4 linked regions of the Arabidopsis thaliana genome follow. The protein of the gene in region 2 interacts with the protein of the main gene of each other region in a pairwise test. Each region holds a gene or a part of one and is shown on either strand. Other genes may lie near its edges. The genes, in order: AS1, MPK20, AT1G35560 and BRX.

Region 1 (7,550 bases), 2.1 Mb from region 2:
GTTTACTATGTAAAAAAAATAAATGAATTGTTTATTTACTCCGATTTGATGGAGTCTGGTTTATGAGGTTTTATAGCCTTTACAGAAAATTGATAGTTACAAAAATATTTTTCAAAAATAAAAGGGTAAAACCGTCATTTCAAGTTGTTATTGTTTTGGGGGACTGGATTTGAAATGAAATATAGAACCGGAAAACAAGGTGAGCCGAAGTCGAAGCCTTTGGACCCGTTTTTATATTTACTCCTCCCATTCCCTTCTCCTTCAATCCTTCCTTCCTCCTCCTCCCTTCTTCTTCTTCCCCTCTTTCATTTTCCAGCCACTACAAACTTTTCTATCTCTACTTTTTTTCCTCTCGATTTCAGGTACTTTTTGAGACCCTTTGTTGTGATTTTCGAACACACACCCCAATTACGTTTGATTTTTGATCCCGCATCGATTTCAATTCATCCGTTTCTGAGTTTCTTTTGGATCTGGGTGTCTTGAGCTAATCTTTTCGATCTGTTGTTTATCGATTTTACTCATGCGTATGTTCATTACACCATTTGTTATTTGTTTAATCAACCAAAAGACTCATGTTTTTCAAATGTCTTTAATATAATTTTTCTGATTGAATTTTATAATATTTACATGATTCTGGATCCAGAATATCCTTCTTCTTCTTCCATTTTGTCCTGTATTGATTTGTCTTTGAAAAAGGATTGTTCTTTGTATCTGTATTGGTGAAAAAGGATTGTTATTTGTTGATAAAAATTTGATCTTTAAACAATGTTTGGTTTTGCATAAAGGTAGAAGAAAATGGCTGATGGTGAAGACATTCAACCTCTTGTTTGCGACAATGGAACTGGAATGGTTAAGGTGTGTCATTCTTTCTCTCTGTTTTTTTTGACAAAAGTTTTCATCTTTTTTTCAATTTTTGATTGATGATCCTCTGAACAATGTAGCATTTGTTTTTTTTTGTTTAAGATGATGATGTTCTTTTGTATTGGAATAGGCTGGTTTTGCTGGGGATGATGCACCTAGAGCTGTGTTTCCTAGTATTGTGGGTCGTCCTCGTCACACCGGTGTGATGGTTGGGATGGGGCAAAAGGATGCTTATGTTGGCGATGAAGCTCAATCCAAACGAGGTATTTTAACTCTCAAGTACCCTATTGAGCATGGAATTGTCAACAATTGGGATGACATGGAGAAGATTTGGCATCACACTTTCTACAATGAGCTCCGTGTTGCTCCTGAGGAACATCCTATTCTACTTACCGAGGCACCGCTTAACCCGAAAGCTAATCGTGAGAAGATGACTCAAATCATGTTTGAGACTTTCAATGCCCCTGCTATGTATGTGGCTATTCAGGCTGTTCTTTCTCTTTATGCCAGTGGTCGTACTACCGGTGAGTGTAGCGCTTTTGTGTCCTTATGGTGTAAAGCTTCGATCTTTGTACATTTTTGCAGAGCAAAACGTAAAGCCTTTCTTGAATTGTGGATGTGCAGGTATTGTGCTCGACTCTGGAGATGGTGTGAGCCACACTGTTCCTATCTATGAGGGGTATGCACTTCCACATGCTATCCTACGTCTTGATCTTGCTGGTCGTGACCTCACGGATGCGCTGATGAAGATCCTAACCGAGCGTGGTTACTCTTTCACCACCACAGCAGAGCGTGAAATTGTCAGAGACATAAAGGAGAAGCTTTGCTACATTGCTCTTGACTACGAGCAGGAACTCGAGACAGCCAAAACCAGCTCATCTGTTGAGAAGAACTACGAGCTACCTGATGGGCAAGTGATCACCATTGGATCAGAGCGATTCCGTTGTCCTGAGGTTCTTTACCAGCCATCTATGATTGGTATGGAGAATGCTGGTATCCATGAAACCACCTATAACTCCATAATGAAGTGTGATGTCGACATCAGGAAGGACTTGTACGGTAACATTGTGCTCAGTGGTGGAACCACAATGTTCCCTGGAATCGCCGACAGAATGAGCAAAGAGATCACTGCTTTGGCTCCAAGCAGCATGAAGATCAAAGTCGTTGCCCCTCCAGAGAGGAAATACTCTGTCTGGATTGGAGGGTCCATCTTGGCCTCCCTCAGTACCTTCCAGCAGGTACACACAGTCCCATCACTTGTTTACTCTAAACAGACCTAAACTAAATCCTAATCACTCTCAGCTTAACTAAACTGGTTCAATTCTGAAACTATGTGTTACCTTGTGCAGATGTGGATCGCAAAGGCAGAGTATGACGAGTCAGGTCCATCGATTGTTCACAGGAAGTGCTTCTGAGTTCAAAGTTGATCATTTTTCAGAGAAGAAGCACCGCCAGGGTTTTTCCGACCATTTCTCAAGCCGGGTTTTTAATCTTCCGTTATTCTGCTCTTTGTTTTTGTTCTCTTATGTTTTGAAATTCATGCCAAATACATTTTCATGGATTTATGGTAATCTGTTTGTAGTATGGTTTAAAATCTAATGCAACTGTGTTTTTGAGTGAATAAGTACACACCTCTTCCTCTTCAATTTTTCAATTATTATGTAACAATTTGTTTTCTGTCTTCTACTTGAATTTACACATGTAAAGATATAAATCGATTTTATTTATAAACCAAAGTGTTGCAGCTGACTAAATCAACATCAAGCTTGAGAAAACAAAGCCATGGATAAACTGAAGTGATAAATGGAACACAAAGGTAAAAGAAACAAATACAAAGCTGAGGTAAGGAACCCAAAAGTCTAAGTAAACATTGGAGACACCCAAATGATCAAAGACAAAAAAAAACAAAAAAAAACAAAAAAAAAACCTTACATTACATTACAAGTTACAACAAAGAGTTTAGGAGACGGTTCAGGGGCGGTCTAATCTGCAACCCATTTGTTGTTCAAGAAACTTGGTGAGTCTGATATGCCTAGAGGTCCATTGATCAGCCAGTTTCTGGTCTTTGGCCTCTGCGTCTCGCCTCAAACCAACGAGCTGTTCTCTGTACTCTCCTTCGATCTTCTCCATTGCGTTCTTCTGCTCTTCCCTAAGAGCTTTCATCTTTGCCTCAATCTCCTCCATCTTCTCCCTTTGTCTACACGTCTTCTCTGACTCTAGCTGCAGCTCCAGCCTTCTTAGCCTCCATGCAGCCTCTTTCTTATGGTCTGCCCAAGCTCGGTGCCCTTCCTCCAACTCTCTACAACACTCCACAAGCTCTGACAAGAACACACTCTCGCTACTCCCACTACAAGACGGCATCATACTCCCTAACACAAGTCCCCCTGGACCGTTCTCTGCTCTCTCAGGCTGTTGCTGCTGCAGCCACGGGATTGGCGGTTGAGGCGCAGCTGCAGCCACTGTGGAAGGCGATAATGTCAAAGTTACCGAGGGAGGCCTTGCAACAACATTGTTCCCATTGTTAGAAGTAGCTAACCAAGGCGGGATCACTGGGTTAGGAGGCTGAACTTGTTGTTCAGAATGTAAAAACCCTCCATTCGAATTAGCCATCACAACCGTTGCAGCAGCGGCAGCAGCAGGGACAACGTTAGACCGCTCTTTGACAAGCTTCTCAGCGAAACTCTCGAGAATCCGATCGTACTTACTCTCGTCAATAGGCTCAACTCTCTTGTTACTCTCTTTCTCTTCTCTCTGTTGCTTCTCCTTAAACACTTCCCACCACTTCCCTAACCGCTTTGCCGTCCTCCCGGGAACCTCAGCAGCAATCTTCTTCCACTTGTTGCCGTGTTTCTCCTGAAGACGGATCACAAGCCTCTGCTCTTCCTCTGTCAAAGACCCTTTCTTGATCCCTGGCTTAAGATAATTCTTCCATCTCTCTAAACAAGACTTGGCGTCACGGTTCAAAGGTTTGTTCATACGCTCAGACACAAGATGCCATTCTCTCGGACCGAACTGTCTAACGTAAGCACGTAACAATGCATCTTCTTCACCACTCCAACGTTGTCTCTCTTTCATCTCCTACTCCTCCTGACATCACTTCTTCCCATCTCACCATCCTTCTTCATCTGTACCAAATTCAAAATCAACCCGTTTCATAAATCTCTCCAATTCAAAACTCTAAAAGATCGAAACAAATCTACAAGATCTGTCGAATTTTCGAATTAGAAATTACAAAGTCTGAAAAATTTCCGTTTCAAGAAATGAAAATGACAAAAACTTTGACAATGTTTGAAGCAAAACTTGGAATAATTTGTTATTATCACACTATACAACCTATATTCTGGAAACCAAACAGGGGAAATTAATGCTGACCCCAAAACACTATTAAGCAAAGACTTATTAAGAAGATAAGAGAGTTAAAATTATTACTATAAAACAAAATAAAAATGCTTACCAAATGATATTGAAAAGATAAATAATCCCAAACTCAAGAGCAACTTCCATCACACAGATTTGCTCTCTCTCTCACTTTTTTTTTTTTATATAGTTGGAGAAAATGGAAGAGAGAAAACGAAAAGACCAAAGTGAGAGAGGCTTTTAAAACCAGACGACGTACACGATTAGACCACAGAGACGGCATAATTAAAATAAAATCTTTAAAAAAAAAAAGAGAGAAAAAGTTTACCGACTGAGACACAGACGTTTTCCCCTTTTTACATCACAAGTGGGGAAAAAAAAAACTCTGACAGAGGCGCGTGGAGGTGAAAAGTTGAAATTCCATAAGTTCGTTGTTTGTCATTGACAATATTAAACCTTTTTTTATATATATTTACTACATTGGGATCTCAAAATTCATTTTTCTATAACATTATGAGAAATAAAATGACAATCTAATGTAGGGGATGCTTTAAATTTAAATGAAAAAGTGTTGTACTTTAGTGGCTGAAAAGTCATTTACTTGTCAAAATGATAGAAGAAAAACTAACCATTCAAGAAAATAATGCTCCATTTATAAACTCCTTCACTCAAACAATAGAATTTTATGTCCAATTTGAGTAACATTAATTTCCACTTACCCATAAGAAAAATAATTATAATAGCATAAAAATAGTTAACATTTAAACTTGTTGATTTATTTTCCAAACACTTATATTTTGAAACAGCATATTAACATGGAAAAGTATTTGTTGAAAATGGAAGATTTCGCAATGATGATCAAATAGAGATGAGAAAATAAAGTTTTTGCAATGAGAAGAGATAGAACATCACTAATGTTACTCCCTATCAAAAAAAAAATCAATAATGTTGCAAGAAAAAAAAGAGAAATTTTATTTAAAAAATGAGCAAAACTAGAAATAATCAAGTAATTTTATAAAACCTTAGAAGATCTTTCTATTTGCCATTTGAAAACTTTAATTAGTAAAATAGATTTGGCTAAACAAATAAAAAAAACTTTTAGGCTAAAAATTGGATTTGACGTATGAGTAATTGGGGATGAGGGGGACACGTGTCAGAAAATGGGAATGGTATCTTTTGGGGAAAGCATGTAAGTGTGTAATAATGGTCCCCTTCTCTCTCCCATAACCCTACCAAAAATACTTTTCTTTGTTCCATCACATCCGACTACCACTACTCACTCACACCCTCCGTTTTTTTTTTCTGCTACCATGCGCCAAAATCTTCATAGCGTATTTTAGTATTTCTCCGACGTCTATAATCAGGCAGACAAAACTTTCACTCTTTTATCATTGCATCAACTAGTCACTCATCACCCCCAAGTATCTAGCTTATACAAATTAGGCAACCACATGTTTTCTATATAATATGATGTCACTAAGGTCTATTTATATATTATTATAATAAGATTATTGTTGACATTGTTGTTGTAATAGTGATACTGTAATACTATTATTCTAATAATGTATTTGGATAATTCAGTGTTGCATTATGTGTAATAGTTAATCGTAGCAGACACAGCATTACTAAGTCAATACATTTTATTTTCGATTTTTTTTGATAAAAATTTAGTTTGCAATGGTTTCCATTTTCTATTGTAATTTGTAAATCATTTCATCATGCAAACTTTTTAAGAGACATGACCTGACATTAAAAGTTCTTTTCACAAAATTAGAATGTTAACTACAAAAAAGTGAAGAGAATTTTCAAAATAAAATCACTACAAATATAGTAATAATATCTTTTTTTTTTTTTTTTTTTTTTACAGCAATAGTAGTAATATCTTTCCCCAACAAATTAAGCTGAAAAAATCAATATTCAAGAAACTAGTTTACTCTCAATTTTTTTTTTTTTTTTTTTTTTTTGTCAATCAGTTTACTCTCAAGTCTCAAAATAATACAAGAAATTATGCAGTGGTGTTGGTGTGATCTTACACAGAGGAGCGGAGAGAACAGCCAACATGGTAGGTTGATTTAACCAAAACAAGAAAAGTATGTTGATATGAGAATAGTGGTGGGCCTTGGATGGGCCTGCTTTGAAGGATAAAAAAATAAATTATCGATGTGTATGATTTACTTGACCGTTTGATTGCCTAATATATTTCTCTTTACATTCAAAATTTAATAGAACTTTTAGTATTGTGTGTTTTAAGTTTGAGTTAGTGCATGTTTCCCAGTTGCGAATCGTAAGATCTATCATTAATCACATGTTTAATAAAAAAAATAAAAAATAAAAATGAATAGTTTTTTATTATCAGGCGATTCGGACCATTTTGGTCCATAGTCTCTGATCAACCTTCAATAATATTTGTGATGGATCCACAGACATTAATCATCATGCATAGTTCATAATATTGCATGGCCCTCGCGACCTAACATGATATACATTTTAGAATTTTGATTCCGGAGGAAAAAAACTTTTAGTAAGCAAAACAATAAAAGAAGGATAAAATATACTATACTGTATATATAGAAGGGAATGTGAAACAGAGCAAAGACAGTAAAAAAAAAGAGAAGGTAAAAGGTGATGGTATCAGAGAAAGGTGTTTTTGAAATAGGAAAATAATAGTAGTGAGGGAAATGACATGACATATGAGTTGTCAAATTGAGGCAGATCCCTTCTCTGATCTTCTCTCTGCCATCTCTTGCCTTTTACCTCATGTGCTCCATTCTCTCCGGCTTTTTTTTTTCTCTTTTCTCTTTTCTTTTTCTCGTTTTTTTAATATTTATAAAAACCTTTTTTCCTACAAAATATGTAGGGATATTTTCAATTTGGATACATTCCTACATGGAATTTTCTTTAATTGGTAAATTTGTTGAAAAATAAAATTTGTCTTTAGTGTTTGTAAAACTAGATTTTTTTGGGTAGTTAAGCTAGGTTTTCTTTTAGAAGACAAAGCTAGTTTTTCTTTAGGACGTCTTGGTAGTAGCGCTTTTTTAATAACTAAATTTTTATATTTGTATTAATATGTTTTATTCTAACTTAAATTCTTAGAGTAGGAGTATTTTTCAGCTAGATTCTTTTTCAAACTACAACTTCTTATTAATTAATCAGTAGTTTGAGTAACAACATGCCTATAGGACCATAGAAAAATCGACTCGGTTAATTAATGGTTTTACTTGGACAATTATAGTGATTTCTTGAATAATAGGGTTGTAGGCGTTTTGGTTCATGAAGATATGAAACTGGTTCTGATGGCGTGAATTGACCATTCTCTAATAATTAAGCTATAA
Region 2 (9,430 bases):
TTATTGTATTAGGATATGCGTTGTTAATACAAGCCGGATTACTTTTAGCAAGTGTCTCATTTATTTATCAAGCCGGATTACTTGCTAAAATATTATTCGAACTTTAATTTAAACTCTAAATGGTTTGTGATCTGGTTTAGCCATAAATGTAATAGCTGCTATACGTTGTTTTGCATAGTTACCAGTCTTATTTTCTACAACAAGAATAAAGAGTATAAACTATTTTATGTGAGCTTAAATTTCCAAAAGAAAAATTCAAGTAGACGACGACAAACCCTATAGTTATGCACTTATGCTTATAGGCCATTCGGGTGGTGCCTGGTAATGGACTAATGCCTGATGGTATAAGAGTAAGTTTTGTCGTAATTACGTAGTACGGACGAAATGAAAACGACCACGCGCGTGGAGATAAGGAAGGAAAAGAAGAAGGATACAGTGAGACACTACTTGCATGGGAACAAGGAAGAGAGAGGAGAGGACATGTGCGGGTCACATGAATATCTCCATCTTCAAAGCCCCATTCCCATGTGCTTCCTCCTCTCTATACATTATGTACAGACTGTAATATAGTATTATTATTAGATGGATGAGATCAAATAGATCCTCTAAGAGATAGTGAACTTGTTCGTACAATTGAGGACCTAATCCTACTAAGATCCACATGATATCTATCGGGCATGGTGGCCACGTGTCAACCCTTTTTTGGGTCCCCCCCACCTCAGTGACCTCCTAAATCTGTCCTTCATTTTTTTTTTGTCAACTCCTTTTTCTTATTAAAAGAAACTCCAATTAACATCCCATATTTCTTACCACGTAAAAACAACAATCTCAATATATCTATAATGTTAGAGAAATGGCCACTATATAACAAGAAGAAAGCCAAGGAAGTTTAGTGTTATTGGATTCGAATATAGTGTTACATGTTTCTAGCTAGAGATCTTTATAATATACATCTTTTATACATAAAACCGTTATAGTAAATCTTACTTAATGTTGGTTCCATAAATGAGCCCTCCGGTGCATTTCTTTTGTCAACTATATGATATAAAAACTAGATAAAGACTTAATAAAAAATAATTGCATTAAAAAAAAACAATTGCATTTTTGTAGGTCTTTAATCCAAGATTGCAAATTAACCTAAATCTACTCAAGAAAAAAAATTTAGTAAAGAATAATGATTGACATCTAATTAAAAGAAATAATGTATGGTCTTAATTAAGACAAAGATCAGGAACAGAATAACACATTTCTTTTACGTCTAGGGTTTTTAGTAATACTAAAAATTGTTAAGATGTTGTTTTAGAAGAAGAAGAAGATGGAAGAGAGAAATAAAGAAAGAGATGATGTTTCCAAAGAGGGGACGAAGGAGGGTTTGGTTTCTCGGGATTGAGATTTACAAAAATCGGGTGCCTTTCGCATTTCACCATCTACCAAACTGACACTCTCCCCAATTCTAGTATCTATTTATTTATGTATTTGCACTTACATTAAATATGTTACAAAAATAACACACTCGAAATTTAATTTTAGCTTTTAGCCAGCTTTCACATTCGTCGTCTTGGAATAATCAATTCTATGTCCTTTTGTATCTTGTTCGTTGTTTCTATTTTTTCCAAAATAACTTTTATTTAATGACGAAAACCTAAATATTTATATCTAGGAGGAGTTTGAGATGATTCCCTTTCACTATTTATTTTTGTTGCCACAAAAATAAAAGAGAAGAGTTTGGTTAAAGACAAGACAGTATATGTTTTTTTAAGAATTAAGAAAGGGGAAGATTAAGAAAGAAAATATGTAATGTTTAGCTAAAAAACTCCAAATCAAGGGAAGTTAATTAGTTATCTTCTCTTTTTTTCTATAAAGGCTGGAGATATGGGCCACACAGGTGGACCTACCATGATGGGTGATCTCTGGGACAATGCATACAGTGGTTTTTGGGTCCACCTCTAACCTTATTTGTCTCCTCTCTTGGCCTCATTTAGTTGCATTTTTTTCAATTGTACATGCATTTTCACTTGCTATATCTCTCTTTTGCTTTAAAACTTATTTTATTAAAAACTTTATAATCAGAAAGAAGAAGAAAGATCCCAAATTTTTTTATTTTTATTTTAATTAAAATAGAAGTGAATAAATAATCTTTAAATGATTTTTTCTAATTTTATTTTGATATTTCTATTTTGAGATACTATTTATTGAACAGCAATCTCTCATTGTGCTCATTTATTAATTTGTAGAAGAAATAACTTGTTTAGGAAGAAAGTAAGCGAACTCAACTGTTTACACAAAAATATATACACAAATTGGTTGGTTTAAAGATATGATCAAGTGACAATGCACCTTTCTGTTTCTACTGACATTTGGAAGAACAAAGTGGTGCCTGTGATATGGGTTCCCACCACCACATGCGTTTGGATGTGCCATGAAACCATCATCATCATCACCATGCGCATCCACACTGATCCATCTTCTGTAGCCAGCGGTTCTTTTAAACGTGAAAAACTCTCAACCTTTCTTGTTATATATACCAGAATCTAACATCCATTTATTTATTTGTCGGAATAGAAAAAACAAACAAATGATGGATCACAATTAATAAAAAAAATATTTTTTGCTCATATGGTTTTGTGTCATAGACAATTTTCTTTTATGACATGAAGATGGAAACATACAATGTTCTGTGTGATGAAAGCCCAGCTTAGGTGGAGAACTAGTACATCTTTGACATACCGTACCGAACAGCTCCAACTTTCCGGTGAGCAGAACCACCAGGAGCAGCTGCTGCAGCTGCCGCTGCGACTCCTATTCCGGCAGTTGCCTGTAACAGATTTGTGTCGATTATGATCCGGTCACTGATGTTTTCGGCTTTGTTCATTCCCGTTCTAGCCATGATAAACGGGTTGTTGTCTATGTTGATGGCTACATCTGGTGCATATCTATTATACTGAGATATTTGTCTTGCCTGCTTCTCAGGCTCCATAGTTGTTCTTCTCTCTTGCTGCTTTCCCATGGCGACTGTTGCAGCAGATTGTTGTGAAAAGGGGAGATTAGTGCTCCGGATGAATGATCTCGGGTCATATGCATCTCTGCTGATTCTGCCATTGTCGAAAGGTGCAACCGGGCCCATGAATGTGCTTGGTTTGGCTGCTGCGTGTAGATAGATGTTTTACAGTTTATAGAGGTCAGTTTGGACACATTGCTGTTGGATTCAGGATGAGTGATTAAAAGTACCTGAGAGGTTTCTTTGTTGTGCTTGTATTGTTGCATGATTAAAAGGAATGTTTTGAGTAGTTTCAGGGTTCAATGTGTTTGTGTTATTCATAAGTTTTGGTTGTCCTCCTCGTGCTACTGCGGTTGAGTGTATGACCGTTGATCTGAAAGCATGCAAACACAGAGTCAGAAGGACATATTTTTATAGAAATTAGTGTTCAACACAAGAAACAGATAGTCACGGTCTTATGATTCCATCTTTTTTATCCTTGCCATGTCAATGTATATTAATATACAACTAGTATAGCAGTTGCATAACGGGGGTCAAAAACAGAGGAGATCACCGAAACCAGATCAAGTGACAACAGACTTTACAGAAAAAATGAGGATATACCTGGGAAGAGAGGCATGTTTCCTTTCTAGAGGTGCCACAGGGCCGGTTTTACCACTGTTTTCTTCAAGATGCGCAAATTGTCTTCTAAATTGATCAACAGCACTGCACAGTATACATCAATGTCAGGGACTGGGTGTGATATGCAATGCTAGCTCAAGAATGTAATCAACAAAAATTACGACCTTGGGTAGAGAAAACTGGCTTTATCAGCCCCGTTCATATGATCTTTAAGCAGCTGAGGGTGGTACTCAAGTATCTCCCTAGAAATTAGCTCTCTTATATCCTCTTTAGTGACCTTTCTTCTCTCGAACTCAAATTCCATCTTCGTGATGGGTTGACATGAAGGCTCCCTTTCCACTTTTGCCAATCCCTTAAAATATGGATCAGCAAGTGCCTGATTCAAGTATACAAGAGTAGTTTAGTGATTCACTCCAATAGAAACCCCAAATGCATGATACTCTATTATTAGAGAGAGAAAACAATCAGGAAGCCGAGAATTCAAGATTTGAGATAGTTAGTCAATATGGAAGTTGAAAAGCACCTCTTCAGCAGTTGGCCGGTCTTTTGGATCAAAAGCAAGAAGCCTCTCCAACAACTTCAGAGACAAAGGATCTGCATTTGGGAATTTCTGTGCAAACGGAATGGGTGGCTTTTTCCTCATGCTTGTTAAGTACCTCCTTGCCTTCTCATTCCTCACCTGTATAACATCATAAAAGCAGGGTACTCATCACTACTGGTCCTTGCTTAAGATGTGTAGAAACTCAATGGACTTCGTTTAGCAAGAAGATCAATACCCGTGAGATGGTGTCCAGGGAAGGTGTCCCTAGCAGATCAGTCATAAGATCCAGCTGGTGAACCACATTCTTTCCAGGGAAAAGTGGTTTACCCATCAACACCTCCGCAAAAATGCAGCCTATACTCCAGATGTCAATTGCGGGTGTATACTACAAAGCCAAATCCATCAAAAGTTATATCGCGGCAACACACCAATTAAAAGATGTTATATAGAGAACAAATGAACACCTTAGAGTAAAAAGATCCACAAAGCTCTGGAGCTCTATACCATCTGGTAGCAACATAGTCCTGTAAATTCAGTAGAAAATAATGTAGAAGAGTATCAGGTCCTGCAACGTAGTGAATAATATTTAGACCAACTTCAGTTTAAGAGAAGGAAAAGACTCTTAGAGAGCCATCTTGTCAAACGTACAGTCCAGAAGATTGTTGTGGGGGTATCATTGAATGCAACCCTTGCCAATCCAAAATCACAAATCTTAAGTTTACAGTTTGCATTTGCCAATATGTTCTTTGGTTTCAGGTCTCGGTGGTAGACATTAGCTGCAACAACCAAGATTCATAAGATAATATAATACAACAAACCAAACTCGACAGCTGAGTTAAAGTTCAGATATATTGGGGCAAACTTCAAAAGGCAAACATTTAGCCAGACAATGGAAACCGCAAGAATCCAATTCAGTGCATCAATGTATGAGATAGTACTGTAGAATGTAAAGTCCTAAAAGACAAATCTGACATACACTACATTTTGCAAGTGTCCAAGATTTTCATCTACAGAGAGAGCGATATATACACACAGAGAGATTTGAAGATGAAAAGACTATTGCTAGATGCCGGATAAAGAGAGACCAAAAGAAAAAGACTACCTGTGTGAATGTACTTCAGTGCACGCAATAACTGATACAGGAAAAACTGGTAATGCTCTCTAGTCAAATCATCATTGGCTTTAATAACTTGATGAAGATCCGATTCCATGAGCTCAAAGACAACATAAATATCTTTGAATTCTCTTCGTGAAGGAGGAAGCATAATGTGCTTAATTTCAACTATATCTGGATGCCTTAGGAGTCTAAGAAGTTTAATCTCACGTAGAATCCTCGCAGCATCAGAAATATGCTCAAAAATATCATGAATTTTCTTTATCGCGACTTTCTCACCCGTAAGAGTGTCTATAGCTGAGCAAACAACTCCATAACTGCCTTTTCCAATAACTTCTTGAACTTTAAATCTATTGGCATCGCCATAGTCAGAAAAGAACTCCATCTCCAGATTATTCTGTTACAAATACCATTACTTCCAAGTCAGAAACATTACAATAGAGATAACACTATACAAGAATCAGATGCAGAAGGTTCTCTACTGATGCTACAAAGGACGCCTAATGAAGGATCAATGCAATTGAATGTCAATTTGCTGATGAAGAAATAAAAAAAATGTCTCAACAACACATCATCTTGTCTTGAATGATGACAATTATGCGTTGTTTGTTTGATGACACTTGTAACGTTCATTGATCATAAACAGAGTTGTCCAAAACGGCAAAAAGATTAAAGACAGTAACAGGAAACAAACAAGATTAACCGAAACACACACATAAATATCTCAGACAGAACAGATAGTATCGGATGGAATAATTGGAAAAAAGGAAGAGTTTTTGTTTCACCTTTTTGCGATTATCTTGCTGCATCGTGACTCAATTGAAACACAGACTAAAAACCCAGGAATTAGAAGAACCCTAGAATTCGATCTGAATTGGGGGGAGGGAAATAGAAATTCAGATCAGCCGCATTGGCCCCATCGACCACTACTCCAAATGGCGAAGCTAGAATCCGACCTGGTTCTGCTCCGGCAATCGATCACCGACAGAGACAGAATCGCAGGCGAATTTCTCATTCACCTCTCTAATTCACCCAATTACCCCCAACGAAATCGAAACAACAACAAACAATCGCAGTTCAAGATAAATCGAGGAATTGAAGATAGCAGAGTGCGAACAGCATTGCTTTAGACGCACGTTTTCGTCGGCACGAGATCTGATCACCGACACACAAGGGATACAGAGAGAGAGAGAGAGAGAGAGAGAGAGAGACGAAGAAGTAGTGAAAATGAAAGGAGAGAGAGAGATAAGGAAGGAATCTAGACGGAGATTTATATATAGAGGTTAAAGTGTCGCGTTTGGTAAGCTGCTTTGGTCACTGTGATCCAAAAAAACAACCCATTAGTAAAACGAAAAAATAAATTATTTGATCAAGTGTTAATAAATTAATTAGGACATTATTGATCTGGTCATTATTAGTGTATGATCTATTTTTGATCTTTATTGCCATTCATTCATGTCTTCTTTATCCAATTCTTTCGTTTTGTCACGTACTTATCTCATAGATATAATGTTAATAGAATGTTATCATCTTTATCCTTAAAAGCTTTTTTGCTAATTTTAGTTGCTAAAACTTTGTTTTATTCACTTTATCATTTGCTATATTGTATATACTGCTAAATTATATTTTCAATCTATATTTCATCATCTTCATTTTTGTAAGGAATTTTTAGCTTATTTTTTGTATTAAGTTTCTGGTAATATGATTCTCAATTATTTTGCTGTAAAAAAAAATATATATTATTTTGTTTTTTTCCATTAATATTGTATATCAAATAACCTTCAATTAAAAACAACAATATTAATTTAGCTTTTGGTTGTGGCATGAGTGTAATATAGTAATATTAGGGGTAGAAAAAAAAACAAACTCTCACTTAACTAGCCCAATGGGCCATGCCATTTTTTTAAAACACGCAGGGCTTTTCATATCCGAATAGTTAACGCCACGTCATCTCTGACGCGTGAGAGATTTGTTGTCAAATGTAATAAACCAGCTAATCATTAGTCTGTCTTACTGTCTCCTTCTTGTGGTTAAAATCAAAAGTCAAACCAGCTCACATTAGTGTAATTATTTAACTAAATTATAAAAAAGATAATCATATTTTGATTAGCTAATAACTAAACTACTTGACGATTGAGCGAATCTTATATTTAGTCTTACGGGATTAAACAAAAAATATCAATCAGACCTTGTTACGTAAGCACAAATCATAGTGTTTGGTTGAAAAACGAAGAATAATACATTTTTTTTTATAGTGTGTTAGTACTGTTTTACTTTATACTTCCATATTCTTTTTTCAATAGACATGTTTTTTCTAATCTTCTTTTTGGTGTTAATTTGATTTAAATTAAGTTAAATTTTTGTTGTTTTATGTATTTGGCCAAAATGATATTTGCATCATAAGGTTCATGTAGAAGAAAACATATCTTCATTTTTTTTTACTTTCTAGTCTTTTTCAATCTAGTGGACCTAATCCTTTTTCAAAATGATCTTCAAAGAATTTTTGTACCTAGTCTTGAATAAATGTGAGGAAATCTTTCTTTCTTTTTATGTGAAAAAATGTGAGGAAATCTAATTTACGTCTTTCATTTTTCTGCGAACATAAAATGGGTAAGGAGATATGGAAAATGTAAGATTCGGTTTGCAATTTTTCTGCAAACACAAGATCTCTGTTTTCTGCAAGAACAGAACCAATTTCCCACCAGGGTAACTCATTTTGACCACTTACAAGCGCCAGGCAATAATCCTTCTTCAAGGCCTTTCACCACTCCCCAAGTTCTCTGCTTTGGATCATATAAGCTCTCAAAAATCATAATCCAATACCAAAATTCATGATAAGTTATATGTTTTATTCATTATCAAGAAATTGAAAAACAACAATTCAAAAAGTTCATCTTTTAGAATCATATACTAGAAAACACATAAATCAAGCTCCATTCACCAATTATTGATGAAGTCATGAAGATAAATCGATTATTATCCTCTGATGCAACAACAGCGTGGAGGATTTCCAACACAATGTCCAGTCCGGTAAATAGCTACATTAGTACAGTCATAGAAGCATGCATGATCATCCCGTCTAGCATCACATAGAAAAAGGCAAGCACCATATTTTGCTGGCTCGATCACTGCACATATATACAACTCCACATTAAAACTATAAATCTGTAGATACATGTCCAAATAACAGTTTTAGTTTCTTCAAGGTTCTTAACAACATATACATATACACAGATACATGTAATATTGTATTACTAATTCTATATTTTTAAGAATTTTTTGTTTCCTGAATTATTGTTTTGGTAGTGATCAAAGATAGTTGAAAATAACAAAAAAAAATAAACATCTTCGCAAAGAAACAACATACCTGACTCGGCCTCAACATCGTAATAAGAAAACGAAATTGTCAATATAATTACAAGAAAAACAGTTGCAGAGGTTTTTTTGATACCCATAGGTTCTATTATCTTTTAGGTTTTCGTGAAAGTCTTATTTATAGGACTATTTTTCTTGGAAAGTTTCAAGTTTTTATCCTCTGTTTTTATTTTACAGTAAGTAGATCTTCCATAAATAAATTTGTTATTTTGGTAAAGAGAGATTTTCATTTCTTTTTATTATCTTCTTTAAGTAGAAAGAATCTTAAAACTACTATACTTGAATACTTATAAAAAAAATTACTATACTTGAATATATCAAATTTAATGCAAAGTTCATGTTGGAGAAATTAAATACTAATATCAAAATGTATTTGTATAAATCACATTACAATCACTTTGACTGGAAGACCATTATTCTGTGTGGTAAACTGGTAATTAATTACTAAATTACCACCTACATAAACCGAATATAATTGGACACACATAGAGAGAATTTTCTGTTGTCGAATATTCCAAAACTTATCAAAATAATGTATGTTTCTATTTATAGTCTGTTTCTCTTTATAGTCTGTGTGTATAAATATGATGAGTTTGAATATCACGGGTGATGAAAAAAAAAAAAAATGAATATCACGGGTCCTCGAAAACCACTCCTTCTTTATCCCCACTGTTTCATGTTTTCTTCGCATAGGTAATGGGTTCAATTGTGAAAAAAAAAAAAAAAGGTAATGGGTTCAATATTTCGTCTATATTAAAACTTATACACACAACTATTTTGC
Region 3 (6,596 bases), on a different chromosome or scaffold from region 2:
CCAGATCAATGCAAAGAGATCTCTTCGTGAGGTCAACTTTCTTTGCCACTTGCATCATGATAAAATATGTTTGAGTTTCATCACTACTCTCTCATCGAGTTTATAAAAGCTTTGAGTTTAATCACAGCCAATAATTAATATCAGCTGCATGTTCCATAGATACCACGTAGAGAAAATGTTTTCTTGAGATCGATGTTTACAATGCATAAGAAATTATTAATAGATGGGTCTTCTCCCTCATCAAAATGTGCATGGAAGCAGAGCATATCTACGAAGGAGGAGGGTCGGAGATGGTGTATAAGGTCAACGGAAGGATGATTAAAAAAATCACCTTTGAGAACTGCGCTGTGAGAATAGAGGAGAAGAGAAATGGAAAAAATATCATTTAATCGTCCAACTTTAAAAAATGGTCATTTTATATTGAATTTTTATAGTATATTATTTTAAACATCAACTAAACATTGACTGCTGTATTAAACATGAGATTGTATTGACCTAACCAATATATATAGACATGACATTAAAATCCGATAACGGAACCACTAACAGTCGTTAACAATTCTGTTAGTCAAATTACCAACTTTCAAATTTAGGCTATTTTGAACATGAATTTCGTATAAGGCTATTTTAATCATCAACTAAATGTTGACCCGGCCAAAAAAAACATGATTTTAAAATCTACTAACATAACCACTAACAACTGTTATCAATCGTTAACGCACAACAAAACTAAGACAAAAAAAAATAAAAAGAATACAAATAACCAAAACACATGACTACAGAATAGTTAACGACTGATATCGGCTTTTAGTGGTTCCGTAATCACATTTTAACGTCATGTCAAAATTGGTCTGATCAACGCAATTTCATGTTTAATATGGCAGTCAACATTTAGTTGATATTTAAAATAGCTTACTATGAAATTCCTATATAAAATGGCCATTTTTTTAAAGTTGAATGATTACATGACATTTTTCCCGAAGAGAATGTTGAGAGTGATTTTATTTTTTGTCATCAGATATTATTTAGAGTTCAGATGAACCAAGATTGCGGAAAATTGTTTATATAGGTAATATGTAGCGGTTTGACACGAATTTTTCTTGCCAAATACTCCGCTTTGACATTGGTAATACGAGAGAAAGATAAATAAAAAATATGAAATAGTCAATACACGAATTAATAAAAGACAGAAGTTAGGATAAGTAATATTTTTATATTTGCATGTTAACGTTTTCTAAAATATTACTGATACACGTATTCTAGCAATTGTAATTGGTCAGAATTATGTAACAAGTCTTATGTTAATATGTAACTTGCTAAAGCTTAAGTTAGGAGCATGCTTCTACATCCCATATATGATAGATATATAAATCACAAGTAAAATAAATCATATTCTTTCTTCTTGACATGATAACATATTATTTCTAATATATTTTAAATATATTAAAAATAGTAAATATATAAAAATCCCAATAAACCATCTATTATATACACTTCCGAAATCAAATCCAATATTTTTTTTAAACTATATCAACTAACTTGAAAATATCAATTATCAAAATATATATCCGGGCTAACCCCTAGTCACATTAAAAACGGCATTTCGCCTGATTACCCGTCCAGCCTATTTTTCAAACACATTGGAATTTACTGTGGCATAGGAGTTCTCTCTGACGTGTCCATGTTGCTCCACAAGTGGACAATTTTTTGGTAGATACTACAAAAGTATGATAGACAAAATACGAATTTTAAAAGAGAATTAATATATAAATCTAAAAACCCATTTGTATCCAAACATGTGGTGCTCATGCACCCAATAAAGTTTATCACTACAGTCTACACCATATAATTTTTTATTTATATTCGTTAGCTTTTTACGAACTGCAATCAATTCGAAATATTTGAAATATATGAGCGGTCAAAGAAGGTGTATTCAATTATACCCTTCAACAAAAGAGAAAAGGCATTCTGATAAATATTTAATTTATTCTTTTGTCCATTATGTTACACATAGAGATTCAACTATATTTCCTTTAAGTGACATGCTTTTGCATCGAATAAAAAGAGTTGCAAAACTCGTTAATTATTATGCAACCAAAACAATAAATCCATTTTCTTAAATAACAATTTGGCAATCCCGAAAAGCCAACCCTAAAACCCATATTAACATTGGAGTCCTCAACAAAAGTTGCAATAAATCACACATTCACACTTTTTAAAAACCAAAGAAATCATGAAGTCTTTCAAGGAGAACCATCTATAGTAGGATTTTGGTCTCTAGTAGCATGATCACTCACTTGATGTTGAGGCTTTTGCTCAAGACTCATTCCGAGACCAACCCGACCACCGTCTCCTCCTCCGCCGGAAAATAGCCCCAAATTGTTATTTTCTGCAACACCTAACCCTAACTGTTGACCTCCCACTAACATAGACCCTAGCTGAACCGACCCGATTCGACCCGGGTAATGACCCGGATTAAACGCCCACATGTGCTGTGATGGATCCTGAACGTTAGCCGGACCTCCTCCTCCTCCGACTGGTAACATCCAAAAAGCACTACCTCCGTTTGTGGAGGCTGGCGTTGGCGCTAGTGCCCACATCGGCGGTATCATATTTTGTGTTCTTGACCGGGTCGAACCCGGATCTTGATCAGGAGCTTCGGATCCCGGTTTAGGTGATCTTGAACCGGGTTCTTGATCTAGAAAATTAGGATCTTTAAAAAGATCTTCTTCACGGAATGTTTTGGGAAGAGAAGAAGAAGAAGAATCTGTCGTGATATGATGAGGATGATAAAGCTGTTGCTGGAACCCAAAAACGGCAGCGTTTTGAGCCGCTCTTCCCATGTGGAAAGATTTAGACAGTGGAGCTGAAAGAGTAGAGCCACTGCTTCGAAGAGAGATGTTCAAAGTAGAGATATTCGCCGGTATGGTTCCAGTTCCGGTGGCTGCGATGATAGCTGGCTCCGCTTGTTGGAGCAGCCACTCTATAGTCTCGCCGTCCGATTTGTGTTGTAACTCACGTGTTAGTTGGAAGACACGTGCTGCGCAGATAGCCGGCATACGTATCCTCCGGCCACGTCCGTCTACTTTGATGTGACGGTCCTTGGACGGTCGTTTTGCGGGTGTTTTAGCGGCGGTGACGGTGGTGGTAGTGGAGTTTGGAGCAGTGGTGGTTAATGAGACTGAACCGGAGATTGGTCCCATGGATGGGACCAGATGGGCCGAACCAGTGGTGTTGTTGTTGCTCTGGTTGTTGTTGTGGGACTCCATATTGCTTATAAAATTTATAAATTATGGGGAAAAAAACACACAAGAAAATGGAATAAACAAACAAACAAACTTGTACTGAATTTTTACTTATAACCTATAAATTCTTGGAGTATTTTTTTTTTCTGGTGGGGCTATGAGTTTGTGTTGACTGTTGTTTACTTGTTTGGAGAAAGAGAGAGTGAGAGGAAGAAGATGAAGCAGCTTGTAGAAAAGAGAGAGAGACTTTCACTTTCTTTTTCTTTTGTGTTTTATTTTCATTTGTAGTCCCACTAGGTTTTTGTAGTAGAGAGTAGAGACCAATATTTGCTGTTTCCACACCAAATGATCACTTAACCTTTTTTTGTTTGGTTATTATCACACTTACTATATTGTAGTATAAAAATAATTATGCGCCGAATGTATTGAATTTTGGTCTAACTTTGTGAGACTAAAACTATTTTTAGCAATGGACTATGAAAAGTTTGGAAGTGTTTTACATGATTGAAAAAGGTGTGGATTGTCTAAGATTATAATTTTGGGGCATTTTTGTTGCAATCTTTAGATTGTAGGGATCTATTTGTTGGTTTCCTTATAAAGTTTGGCTTTTAGGTTGGATTTTGCATGGGTGGGAAACGTTGAATGTTCTATGGGGGAAAAGAAAAAAACTAATCACTAATCATAGAGCCAATTTACACCCAATATAATAGTGTTTTAATATTATTTATTTTTTTAATAATTTACTGATAATAACACAAATGTCTCTTTCTTTGATTCTCTATTTTGTCTTTGTTATCCGAATTTGATGAAAGACTTGTTGAGAGATAAGGACCACTGTTTTTATTAACGATGATACTAATAATTGAAGACTATATATAAAGGCTTCAATTCTTTTCCCATCTGCCAAATTAGCACCCACAGACATAGGTTATATATAACTAATCATCTCAACTACAATTTTTCTCAACGAAACCTATACATCTCATTCTAGATGTGAAAACTGTCTAAGAATAGTCCAATTTCAGCCTACTATGTTATATGCACATGTATCAGGGTGTTAACAAAGTATTCGAAATCAAAAAGTTTTAAGGAAAATAATTATGCAAGCGTAGTAAATCAATTAGTTTATTGATATTCACGTTGCTCTTAGTGATTAACCATGTATGTATAATCATATTAGTATTAATGCCTATTAACTGATTTATTGCAATATTTTAATTCATAATTGAATATTTAGACTGTATTATTGTTTCATTTTTTATATCAATTAAATTCCTTTATTAGGTTTTATGTTTTTATCAATCCAAAACCATATAATATATTATATTGCTAGCTATACCATTCGGAATCTTAATTTGGACACGAGCTTGAGCTTTTTGGCTGTTCTTAATGTAAGTTACATGTACGCACCGTGAGCTAAATTATAGATAACAATGAAAGTGAAACCAAACCACTATAAAAAAAACTTTATATTTGAACAGTATATTTTATATAATTTATATATATATATATATATATATATGCAATTATATTTTGAACTGTATATATAATCTCTCTTATTTTTTATTTTCCTGAAAAATAATTGTTGAGACAGATGCACGTGTAAGCATTAGCAGTGAAAGAAAACAGTAAAACAGTCAGAGATAGTTGAAGAAGTACAAGAAGCGAGTGATAAAAAAACGTGATGTTTGGTCTGAAACTCTGGATCCTCCCACGGTCCATTGTCTTGTCTCTGTTCTCTCCAAAAAGTGAAAATGTTCATTTACAAGACCATATAGTATGTAGCCTTGTTCAAGATTCTGTTAGAGCACCTTCATTGGATGGAGACTCATTGAGTATCTAAGAAATAAACTATTAATATTTTTTTATATACATTTATTTTTAAATAAATTATTTTAATTGCTTAAAAAAGTATAAAAGTATCAACCAATTAATGTTTTAAATGTGTAGGCAAGACGTTAAAAATAAAATAAAATGGTGAGAGAGTGAAAGTGTTAATCACTCTTCGACCATATATATCTCTAAAATGGTGCTTTTAAATTGTTTTAGAATCATCTACTGCCTAAAAAGCCCATGCTTTACAGGTTTTAGCTTTGGGTTGGTCTTGTGTGTAGGTATGATCTCATGAGTTCTCATCCAAAAAACAATTCTACTCTCTTTCATTCCCTTTAATTTCACTCATCCCATTTTACATTTCTTGTAAAAAGTTTCCTCAACCTTTCACTTCTCTTTGATACCACCTAGATACATAGAATCTCGTATTTCTATAATCTTGTGATATACATCGTACTTTTTTTTTTTTTTTTTTTAATGTAATGTTAAATTAAATCCAAAAAAAAAATAGCGTTTTTACATCTATGTGCAACATTTTGTTGAAAAAACTGGAGCAAAAACTAGAATACAATCTAAAAATTGTTTCTCATTCTCTCATCGCAAACCAAGCTTGTAAGCCCTTGTCATATCTCTTATCTCCACTTGCTTTGATCGAACAAAGCTGGTTCCGAGTTTGTTTGTCTATTCATTTGATTAAAAGAGCTGCTGAGTTTGGTTTCTCTCCATGATTCCTTCCGTTCCTTTCGCGCCAAATGGTGTGTACCGTGGCTTGAAAGAGATATCGCGCAAAGAAACTGTCAAGCGGTGTCATCCAAGAGCCGGAGATGGCTTGTATCAGGTCTTGCCAATGTGTAGAAAATCTGTCTCCATAGATTCCTCTTGCTAAGTTACTCCAAACTATCGAAGCAAAGTCACAGGAGAAGAAGAGATGATCCCGGGTTTCGGGAGCGTTGTGACATAGCACACAAGCGGCTGACTGACCTCCATTCCAATGAGTCATTCTGTCTCCTGTTGAGAGTCGGTTAAGAACTGCTAACCAAACACAAAAAGAGTACTTTGGCGTGGAATGACCAAACCAAACACCCTTATACCAATCAACGTCCATGGATATGGTCCGCATATGATTCAAGGTCTCTTTAGTCAAGAACTGTGGCTTATATACGTCATTTTTACCTTTCCAAAGAACAATGTCCTCATCCTCTGTTCTATCGTTTCTTTGTTGTAAGAGAGCTGTTTCTATGGCCTGAAGGTGAGTAGATCTGTGTCGTCTTTGTCTATAGCCTTCCCAAGCCTCTGCTACTGTTTTATGCTTACTTATTCCAAGATCAATTTGCCCCCGATCACCTACAACATCGTACTTCAATATTTCTTCCTCCGATAATTTTAGAATACTTTTTCAATGCTTTGTTTTTCCTTCTCTCATAGCATGTGACTAATATTGACAATCTTCTAACTCGTCTTTGCATGAAATGTTGTGGGAGACTCTTGTCTCAATGGTTCTTCCATAGTTAATTTTTC
Region 4 (8,473 bases), on a different chromosome or scaffold from region 2:
ATAACATCCCCATATAAGTGCAGGCCCTAAGCTTCTTGCTGGATTCATAGATGCTCCCGAAATTGGCCTTGAAAATAAAACATTGTTAGCTTATGTTTTAACAAAATCACCATGGAAATTTTTCAAAAGAGACTTAGAATAGTTACCCGGAGAAAAGGATGTCGAGTACTATGGTTGCGCCAATAGCGATTCCAGCGAATGACCCGGTGGCCCGTTTATCGGTTGCGACAGCAGATATAACAAACATTAGATTGAAAGTAGCGATGAACTCCATTACGAACGAGGTCGTATTTGAGTTTGACGGATATGTTCCCACATAAACATCGCCTTTGAGGCTACAAACATCGTCGTCTAGATGGAACACAAGCCGTAGAACTGCAGCCGCTAAGGTCGATCCGAGAAGTTGAGCGGCAATGTACCCCGGAACCTGTAATACAACCACCACATTACATATACAATGTAAGACTAGTTGGTATAGATGATATCTATGGTAAAATGACCAAATATGCGAAATGGAATAAACGAGAAAAACTTGATTTAACAAATAACTAGTGGAAATACATATTTTGCTGCTTATAATTATGAATATGGTCGAAATCATGAAATAACATTATAAAGATAGTATGAGGTATTTTTTTACAATTGTAGATATCTTTGGATCACCTGATTAAAAGGGAACTTCTTAGAAGAGGCAAAGGCAATAGAAACAGCAGGGTTGAAATGTGCACCAGAGACATGACCAATTGAGTAGATCATAACCGTTACGACTAGTCCCCATACCAAAGCTATACCGGGAAGTGTCACCGGTTTGCCATACGTCTCATTTACCACGATGGCTGAGCAACCGGCAAATATCATAGTGAATGTCCCCACGAACTCTCCAATCAACTATAGAGTACTTTCAACAAAAAAAATCAACTAAAGAGAGAACAATAATGTTTGTTTTATTTGATTATCATACTTCATAGATTGGAAAATCAGTTACCAATAATTAGAACCAAAGTCAAGATTGAGCTTGCATATAGGCTATAGCAAACATCACACGAAATATAAAATCTTGATTTGGACTAACAAATATTTCACGACAAATTAAGAAACCATATCGCAACATAAAAGAGGCGGCTCACCTTTTGAACGAACGATACGGACACAAGAGGAGCGGATAAATCCGACGACCGGGAATCATCAATGGATTGATAGTTTTCGATGTCCAAGACAACGGTTTGTGTCTGAGTAGTAATATCAGAAATCTCAGCCATTGATGGAACTATGGTGACTTTCCTCCAAGTTTATGGTTTTCTCATCTAAAAACTCAAATGGTCAACTCTACTTTGTATTCGTTATAACTTATAAGCAAATAATAAAGTTGACTTTTTTATTCTATAGTCTATACCGCATGTTGATAAATTCTTTTAGGTTCATAGTTGACTTCTTTATCTTTGTCACAAAACACACGACATGGTTTACACGATAGTTATAGACTTATAATTATATGTAAATGTAATCAGCTTTGATTAGAAATGATATTTCAAAACACTTAATTTATGTATAGATGTTAAGCTAAGATGAACAAAAAGATAAGCAAAATGTGTGTAGTTTGTGTTGTTATGTGAAGGAGATTAATTAATTAATTAAAGATTTTGGTACTCATAATATTTCGTTTGCTTAGAGGTACTGTGTTTGTATTCTCTCTCTGTTCTGCTCCCACCATGTCTTTGCATGCACTTCCCCAAACCGTTCCCGGCTGTTGATTAAACCACAAAACCATAGATTCCGGTTAGTCACGGTATGATTACCAACTTTCAAAATGTATATGATTAGCAAATGCTTAGTTTTAGACGTTTTGTTATACCTGAATCTGACTCGACGTAGCTCTCTAGTCCCATCTGATAATTGTCTGATGGTAATGTAAACACCAGGCTCGTCCTCTTCAATCCACTCAGCTTGCATTTCACTAGCATTGCTCATGGAAGGTGGATCATCTCTGGAAGAAGTTGTGGTTCTTGCTGCATCCATCGGTGGTCCTCCATGATAACTTCCTGGTCCATAGTTGCTAGAGCCGCCATAAAAGTGATGCGGGACAGATCCTGGAGGTCTGAAATTGTGTCTTGGAGTCCAGTCTTTGCTTTCTCTTGCTGAATCCATCTTTGAGTACGTTGAATCTCTCTGTGACTGAAATATAAACTTGTGTTACCCTCTCTGGCTTAAAAGACAAGATTCATATAGATCCTGTTCTGAAGAAAGACTAAGGGATCTAAGGATATATGTGTTTACCTGATCGTCGGATCTTGCAGGCGTTTGGAGAGCTTGGCGGTTAAATCTCTGTACATTGTAAAGCTCAACGATCTTGTCATAGTTCTCACCCCACCACCGTTGAGCTTGCCACTTATCAAACATCTCTCGGCTTTCAAAACAAGACACAAGTAATTGTTAGTTTTTATCTCATGTTTCAGCGTTGAATGCCATGAAGATATAGAGATTGTTTTGAGTAGTTCAAATACCTGAAACGGATCCGTTTGAGATCATTTCCTCCAGTGGGAAGAGAAGCAAATGTGATATGAACACCAGGTTCTACTTGAGCCATCCACTCTTTTGGTCCATCATCATCCAGTACAACATCACAAGACTGTGCAGAGATAGATTCTCGATCATTTCCATATATTGAAGTGAACTTTGATTCTAACCGTCCAGCTGGATGATGAGAGGAGTTTGTGAAGTCCCAAGCAGGAGTTGAACCAGCACTTCCACCCATGAAAGGGTATGGAACACCTTCAGAGGCATTGTCATAATCCGGAAATGATCTATGTCCTTTCTTCAAGGGACTACTAGAGGAACCAGTGCATGGCTTGCATTGTTTATAAGCACCAGAGAATTTCAAAGCCATATCTTTAATCTGCGTAACATATGCACCCAAAAAGACCGATTACATTCAAAAACTTTATCTTGTTTATCAAAGTAATCCATTTAAACACACAAGAATGTTGAGTATAACGGTACACAAACATTATAGGTAGTTTCAAGCCTTTTTAAGTATGACTAAGTATACTTTTTAGCCCAATGAAGTAAAAAGAGGTCTACTATGATCATTATTAAAAGAACAACAATAAAGCTATGAGATCTAACATAATTAAACATATGTATTAAAAAAAGAAACTTCATATTGTCTTCTTAGCCTGCACCACAATCATAACGGCCCACTATTTCTTTTGTTTATGTTCTTTTGATTTACTAAAATAGTTACCCCCACCCCAAAAAACCCTTTCTTTATTTCCTTGTCTAGGTAAGAATCCACTAAAGCTTATTTGAGAGAAAGGTATTTAGATCAAGCTTCACTAGCAATATTCATCAAAGTATGACCCCAATATAAGCTTTAATGATAGTCCTGATAATTCAACTGGCTACATAATTCAAGGATATGTACAATGAGGGTTTAAATTGTTTCAGTAGTTGTTTTTGACTTTCATATGTCTAGTCACATAGAGAGGAAGCAAACACTGACATGAAAACTATTAAAGAGAGATTGGTGAAAGATTCCAAAAAATGAAGTGAAGTTACCTCATTGTAAGATCTCTGTCCTAAACAACAGTAACCTCTATATACTAATGACTTCAAACTCTATTCTTTGGTAAAGAAAACGAATAATAGTCAAATATATGGACCCTTTTTAAGTCCTCTAAGATACGTTAATTGGGGTTTGTGTCTTTGTTTGTTTCACGAGCAAGGCAATTAGAGAAAAGCAATAAAATAAAGTGAAAGAAAATAAAAGCAGAAGAAGGATCAACAAAGAAAGAAGAGAGAGACCTGAATGGTTAGGCTTTTGACGGCTTCTTTAGTATTGGGAGTGGTGCCTCCACGCGCTCCATGTTCGACTTCTTCACCTCCGTCTGCTTTGGTACAAGCTATGCAAGAAAACATTTTTGGTCTCTTTTTTGAGTTGTTCTCTGCCTTTTCAGACCTATAAAACCAGAGAGTACTCTATTAAACATCATCACAAACCAAACCTCACACTACTCTACTCAAATCAATAATAATACTCTACAAAACAAAACAAAAAGTAATTAAGAACGTTAAAGTAGAGCTCACTCTCACAATCCGACATAAAACACGGGTAAAGCTTATGTAATCGTAGTACACATGTAAACATTAGTTACAAGTTAGGAACATATAGCTAGAAAAGGGTATTTGGATTTCAATTGTCGTTTTCTTATAACGCAAAACACAAACACAAAAGGACAAAGTTGTTGACATATCTCTAGTCAGGAAACAACTACTCATGTTATAACAAAAAGAAAATGTAACTTGACTGGTTAGTAGTTTAACTCATAAAGAACCAATGCTAAATATTTCAAGTACTAAACCCATTTTTTAAAAATGGAAAGAAAGAAAAACAGTTTACATTACACCATGGTCGGATATTTGTGTTACCTATTTTAAGAGCGAATAAAAAAAGATGGGTATAAATTAGTGAAGAGATCTTGATAAAGACAAAAGTGTTGAAAGAGATATTAAAACTACATGTTACACTTTTCTTTATTAAAAAAAAAAAGATGTTATAACTAGAAAAGAAAGAGAGCTTGGGGATCAGAAAATAGGACCCAGTTAAGAAATACTAATATTTTAAAAATTAATTGTGCAAATCTAAACACCTGAAAATTGTATAAACACATTATTTACAAGTAATAATATATTCTAAAGACAATCATAATAGAGACAAATGCTTCTTTATTCTACTTTAAATAGTTTTTTTTTTTTGTTAAAGAATAACTTAATACTTTTGTGTGCAGCAAAAGATCCTAAACCCATCCCTCAACTAACAAAAGTTCGAAGAATAATTACATTTTTTTTGCAGTAGCCGAAATTTATGACATTTTAAAAAAAAATCAGATTATTGTGATGACTCAAGAGAATCAAATAATATGTTCTGATTCCGCGTGTTTAACATCGATCAAGACAAATACATAAGTAAAGAAGAAAACAATTGGAAACACTAGAAAAGCAAAACAAAATTGAAAAATATAACAAGAAAATGGAATCTTGACAGTCACGTGTTAAGAAAAAGAAAAAGAGATTGGTTTCTATTTTTAGGGTTTTGAGTGATGATGGACCAATCTAAAGCGTGTCGCGACATGAAAACTAAAACTATATCCAAAGTAAAAGATAAAATCGCAAAAACAATCACGAATCACGAAAAAAACTCTGTTTTGATATCAAAAGCAAAGGCAAAAACTGATACAAAAACCATTATTATTCTCACCTCAGAAAACGACTTCTTCTTTTTTTCTTAATCATTACAATCCAAAAAATAAAATTTTGATTAGTGGGTTTTGTTTATTACTCACTCACCTTTGTGTTTCGATATCTGAGAAATGAAGCGATATGATCTGAGATTATTGAGATACTAGATAGCTAGCTTCTGCTTTATTTTCCTCTTGAAGGCTTTGGTCTATTTAGGAAGCCGGCACGAGTGGGGTTAGTTCTGAGTCTACGTCTATAAATAGACCATCAATGGCTGCAGAGAAGATTAGTGTAGTAGTGTTACAGACAGTAATTGTAATAAATGTGTTACAAAAGGACGAAAACAATTTATGATACTACAATTTTGCTTTTAATGTTTTTGAGAAAAAATTCGGCGTTTTCTCAAAAAAGTAAAAGAACAATAAATACCGGGAAACTTTTGAATGAAAATGAAAATTTATATTAATATTGAAGAATGAATACACATTTTTCGGTGAAGTTTCTGATTTGGGTTTAGTGAGAAAATTTTGGTATTAATCAGAAAAAAATGACGAATCGAATCTGTCTAAATCAAATCAATCAAGTGACAAATGTTTGCAGAAAAAGGTAACGCAAAAAAAAAAAAAAAAATCTCTGAATCTTTTTTTTTCCGGGAAAAAATAGTATTGAAAAGATCGATCGGAAAAAAACCAGTGACTAATCGTTTCTACAGAAGAACAGAAACAGAGCAACGAATCTCTCTGTTTTCTTATTTTCCCGAGAAAAATCTTCAAAAAAGAGAATTTTTATAAACTCACCTGAAATGTCTTCTTCTTCGAATCTGATTATGTAATAAACTTCACTGAGAAAATCTCCAAACTCAAAAACCCATAGAAATCTTCATTTTCCGGAAGAGAAATTTGGAAAAAATGAGAACAGAGACGAAACCGGGTCGAGAAGTCGGGTTATTGGGTGACCCGAGAACTGAAAGGAGCTCCGAGAGTTTTAACTAGACGAAGAGAAGAGAGACAAGAGTTACGAAGAGTATATATATATACGTGGAGGAAAGAGAATGTTTAACGGCGTTTAATGTAATAAAAAAGAACCGTGAGTTTTGACGGAGGTTTATTATTTTGGTGTGCCGAGGAAAAATATTGGTCTCGAGAAGAGACGGCAAAGAGGGCCCATGTTGTCTACCGGTGACGGAGATGGCTTACGTGTGGTGGAAGTAGAATACGTGGCGGTTTCTGATTGGTTTGAGACAGCTGAAACCGGGTCGGGTTTTGGTCACGATACATTTGACAGGCCAAGGGAACCGTCGCATCACGATTCGCTTTGTGTGGGTTCATTTCATCATCTCTTTTTATTTTATTTTACTATACATAATATATGTGTGTTTCATCGTTTTGTCTTGTTTTGGTTATGATCATGTGTGCCAATTTTTTGTTGTTATGTTTCTACTAAATGAGTAAAGAAGCATCGATTGTGAATAGAATCAATAACTTGTTCATTGAATTTTTTTCATTTGGACATTTGGAGTTATATAATATAGTGTGAAAGTGTAAGTTGAAGTGTTTGCTTAAATAGTGTCCCAATCATGGATTAATGTTGGCATGGTGGATGGAGTATTGAAGTATGGGATGATACAACTATTTCTATTTATTTTACACATGTGATGTGTTTGTTTGTCATGTTCATTTCTTTAATATATAATATAGTGTAATGGTCCGACCATATTAAAAAATAAATAAAAAATTGTCTTTTCTTGACTCGTTAAACCAAATTATGCTAGGTTTAGAGATTGCTATAGAAGAAAAGCTTGCAGAATTGACGATGTGTTAATGTATTTTGGAATAAATATTTGTACTGTAATTTTGTTTTCTTCAATTGCATATGTAAGTATCTCATGCATGCAATGACTTTTTTAGAAAAGAAATGTTAAACGAAGATTTCTTATAAATTTTATTATTTTCATTCATATACGTGAAAAGTACGAAGGAAGTGAAATGTCAAAAGAGTTTTAAAGACAAGCATTCTTGATTTTGGGGTTAATGATGAAATATTTGGCCATGTTCGAATTTCACTGAAGGTTATAACATAGTGAATTACAAATTTTCTAAGGAAGTACAAACGAGCTGAATCTCTATGATATAAGAAAAAGCATACTAGTAACATAAAATGTTAACCTCAGACAAAAAGGTGTTGATATTAATCACAATGAAGTTTCTCAGTGTAGCTTGAAAGAATGTATCGAGTTCGAAGCATTTAAAATAATTATATGAAAGTGATATGAACGAGCTTGACTTTACTTAGTCGTGTTGGTCATCGATTTTTTCTACTTTTAATTTTAGATTAAAATATGTAGAAAAAACTCACTTGATTCCGATAAAGATGGTAAACTAAAACACAAACTTTTAATTATAAAATTACTAAATAATGATAGGCATAAGGAGTCATTCTCCAAAGTTGTATAGGCTGATAATATCGTGATGTTGATTCGCGGTTAAGTAATAGGCATTACACTTCTCTGTAAATTATGGCCACCAATTAAACTACATACATGGATTATTTAGGTTGATCTAGTTAATAACTAATAATTTTGGCTTGAATCAACTTTGATCATAACATTGTTAGTCAACCTTCTAAATTTGTTGTCATATGAAATGTTGTAAAAATCAAAACGGCATCGATTTAGATTTAATAGATTTATAGACAGTATATATTTATACATAAACTGAAAAAAACCTTGTCAAAAAAACTTAGTAAACTTATACAGAAGAAGCTTATAACATATAACACTAATATACAGTATATACGTTTATACATGTTTTGATGAATTTACATAGTCCATTAATAGTAAAATAAAACTAAGTTACTTTGTTTTCTTAAAAACGGATCATATGACTTACCAAATGTAGACGGTTGATTAAAGGCTTTTGGATCAATCATAATCAATATAAACCAACCTTTGATAGTTTGTATAAGGATTCACTAAATTTACATGGTTAATGTATGAATTTTCACATGTGATTTAATTCATGTACGAATTTAAAGAGTGATCATAGATTCATAGTTCATTTATGATGAATTGGTTTTCCCAGTGGTCGGGTATTTAAATTATTTTGTACTAAACAATTCATTTCTGTTTGTAAAACAAAACAAAACAAAATTAAACAACATTCATATACATTATAATGAATAATGTACTAAATGACAAAATGCAACAAACATTAGTTTTTTTTGCCTTTTTCTGTTTAAA

The links.
Region 1: the proteins of MPK20 (region 2) and AS1 interact in binary tests that used the Arabidopsis thaliana proteins (3 or more experiments, as listed by UniProt).
Region 3: the proteins of MPK20 (region 2) and AT1G35560 interact in binary tests that used the Arabidopsis thaliana proteins (3 or more experiments, as listed by UniProt).
Region 4: the proteins of MPK20 (region 2) and BRX interact in binary tests that used the Arabidopsis thaliana proteins (3 or more experiments, as listed by UniProt).

What each region holds. Positions count from the first base shown.
Region 1 is NC_003071.7:15,778,966-15,786,515, forward strand, and holds AS1 (myb-like HTH transcriptional regulator family protein), read right to left. Parts: upstream 4,516-7,550; 5' UTR 4,316-4,515; intron 3,987-4,315; 5' UTR 3,937-3,986; coding exon 2,833-3,936; 3' UTR 2,277-2,832; downstream 1-2,276. Other genes in the region: ACT1 (actin 1), read left to right, coding at 796-855, 992-1,385, 1,486-2,099, 2,211-2,276.
Region 2 is NC_003071.7:17,837,865-17,847,294, forward strand, and holds MPK20 (MAP kinase 20), read right to left. Parts: upstream 6,517-9,430; 5' UTR 6,084-6,516; coding exon 6,060-6,083; intron 5,672-6,059; coding exon 5,263-5,671; intron 4,937-5,262; coding exon 4,809-4,936; intron 4,685-4,808; coding exon 4,625-4,684; intron 4,546-4,624; coding exon 4,396-4,545; intron 4,299-4,395; coding exon 4,143-4,298; intron 3,996-4,142; coding exon 3,784-3,995; intron 3,704-3,783; coding exon 3,602-3,703; intron 3,372-3,601; coding exon 3,229-3,371; coding exon of another isoform or gene 3,206-3,228; exon of another isoform or gene 3,145-3,205; coding exon 2,708-3,144; 3' UTR 2,304-2,707; downstream 1-2,303. Other genes in the region: AT2G42885 (Defensin-like (DEFL) family protein), read right to left, coding at 8,251-8,402, 8,642-8,729.
Region 3 is NC_003070.9:13,113,856-13,120,451, forward strand, and holds AT1G35560 (TCP family transcription factor), read right to left. Parts: upstream 3,381-6,596; 5' UTR 3,270-3,380; coding exon 2,244-3,269; 3' UTR 1,971-2,243; downstream 1-1,970.
Region 4 is NC_003070.9:11,443,246-11,451,718, reverse strand, and holds BRX (DZC (Disease resistance/zinc finger/chromosome condensation-like region) domain containing protein), read right to left. Parts: upstream 4,433-8,473; 5' UTR 4,399-4,432; coding exon 4,397-4,398; intron 3,956-4,396; coding exon 3,802-3,955; intron 2,894-3,801; coding exon 2,502-2,893; intron 2,405-2,501; coding exon 2,275-2,404; intron 2,173-2,274; coding exon 1,853-2,172; intron 1,745-1,852; coding exon 1,666-1,744; 3' UTR 1,527-1,665; downstream 1-1,526. Other genes in the region: NIP3;1 (NOD26-like intrinsic protein 3;1), read right to left, coding at 1-67, 147-427, 664-888, 1,128-1,259. UniProt on the Arabidopsis thaliana protein: Acts as a regulator of cell proliferation and elongation in the root and shoot. Regulates roots architecture and primary root protophloem differentiation.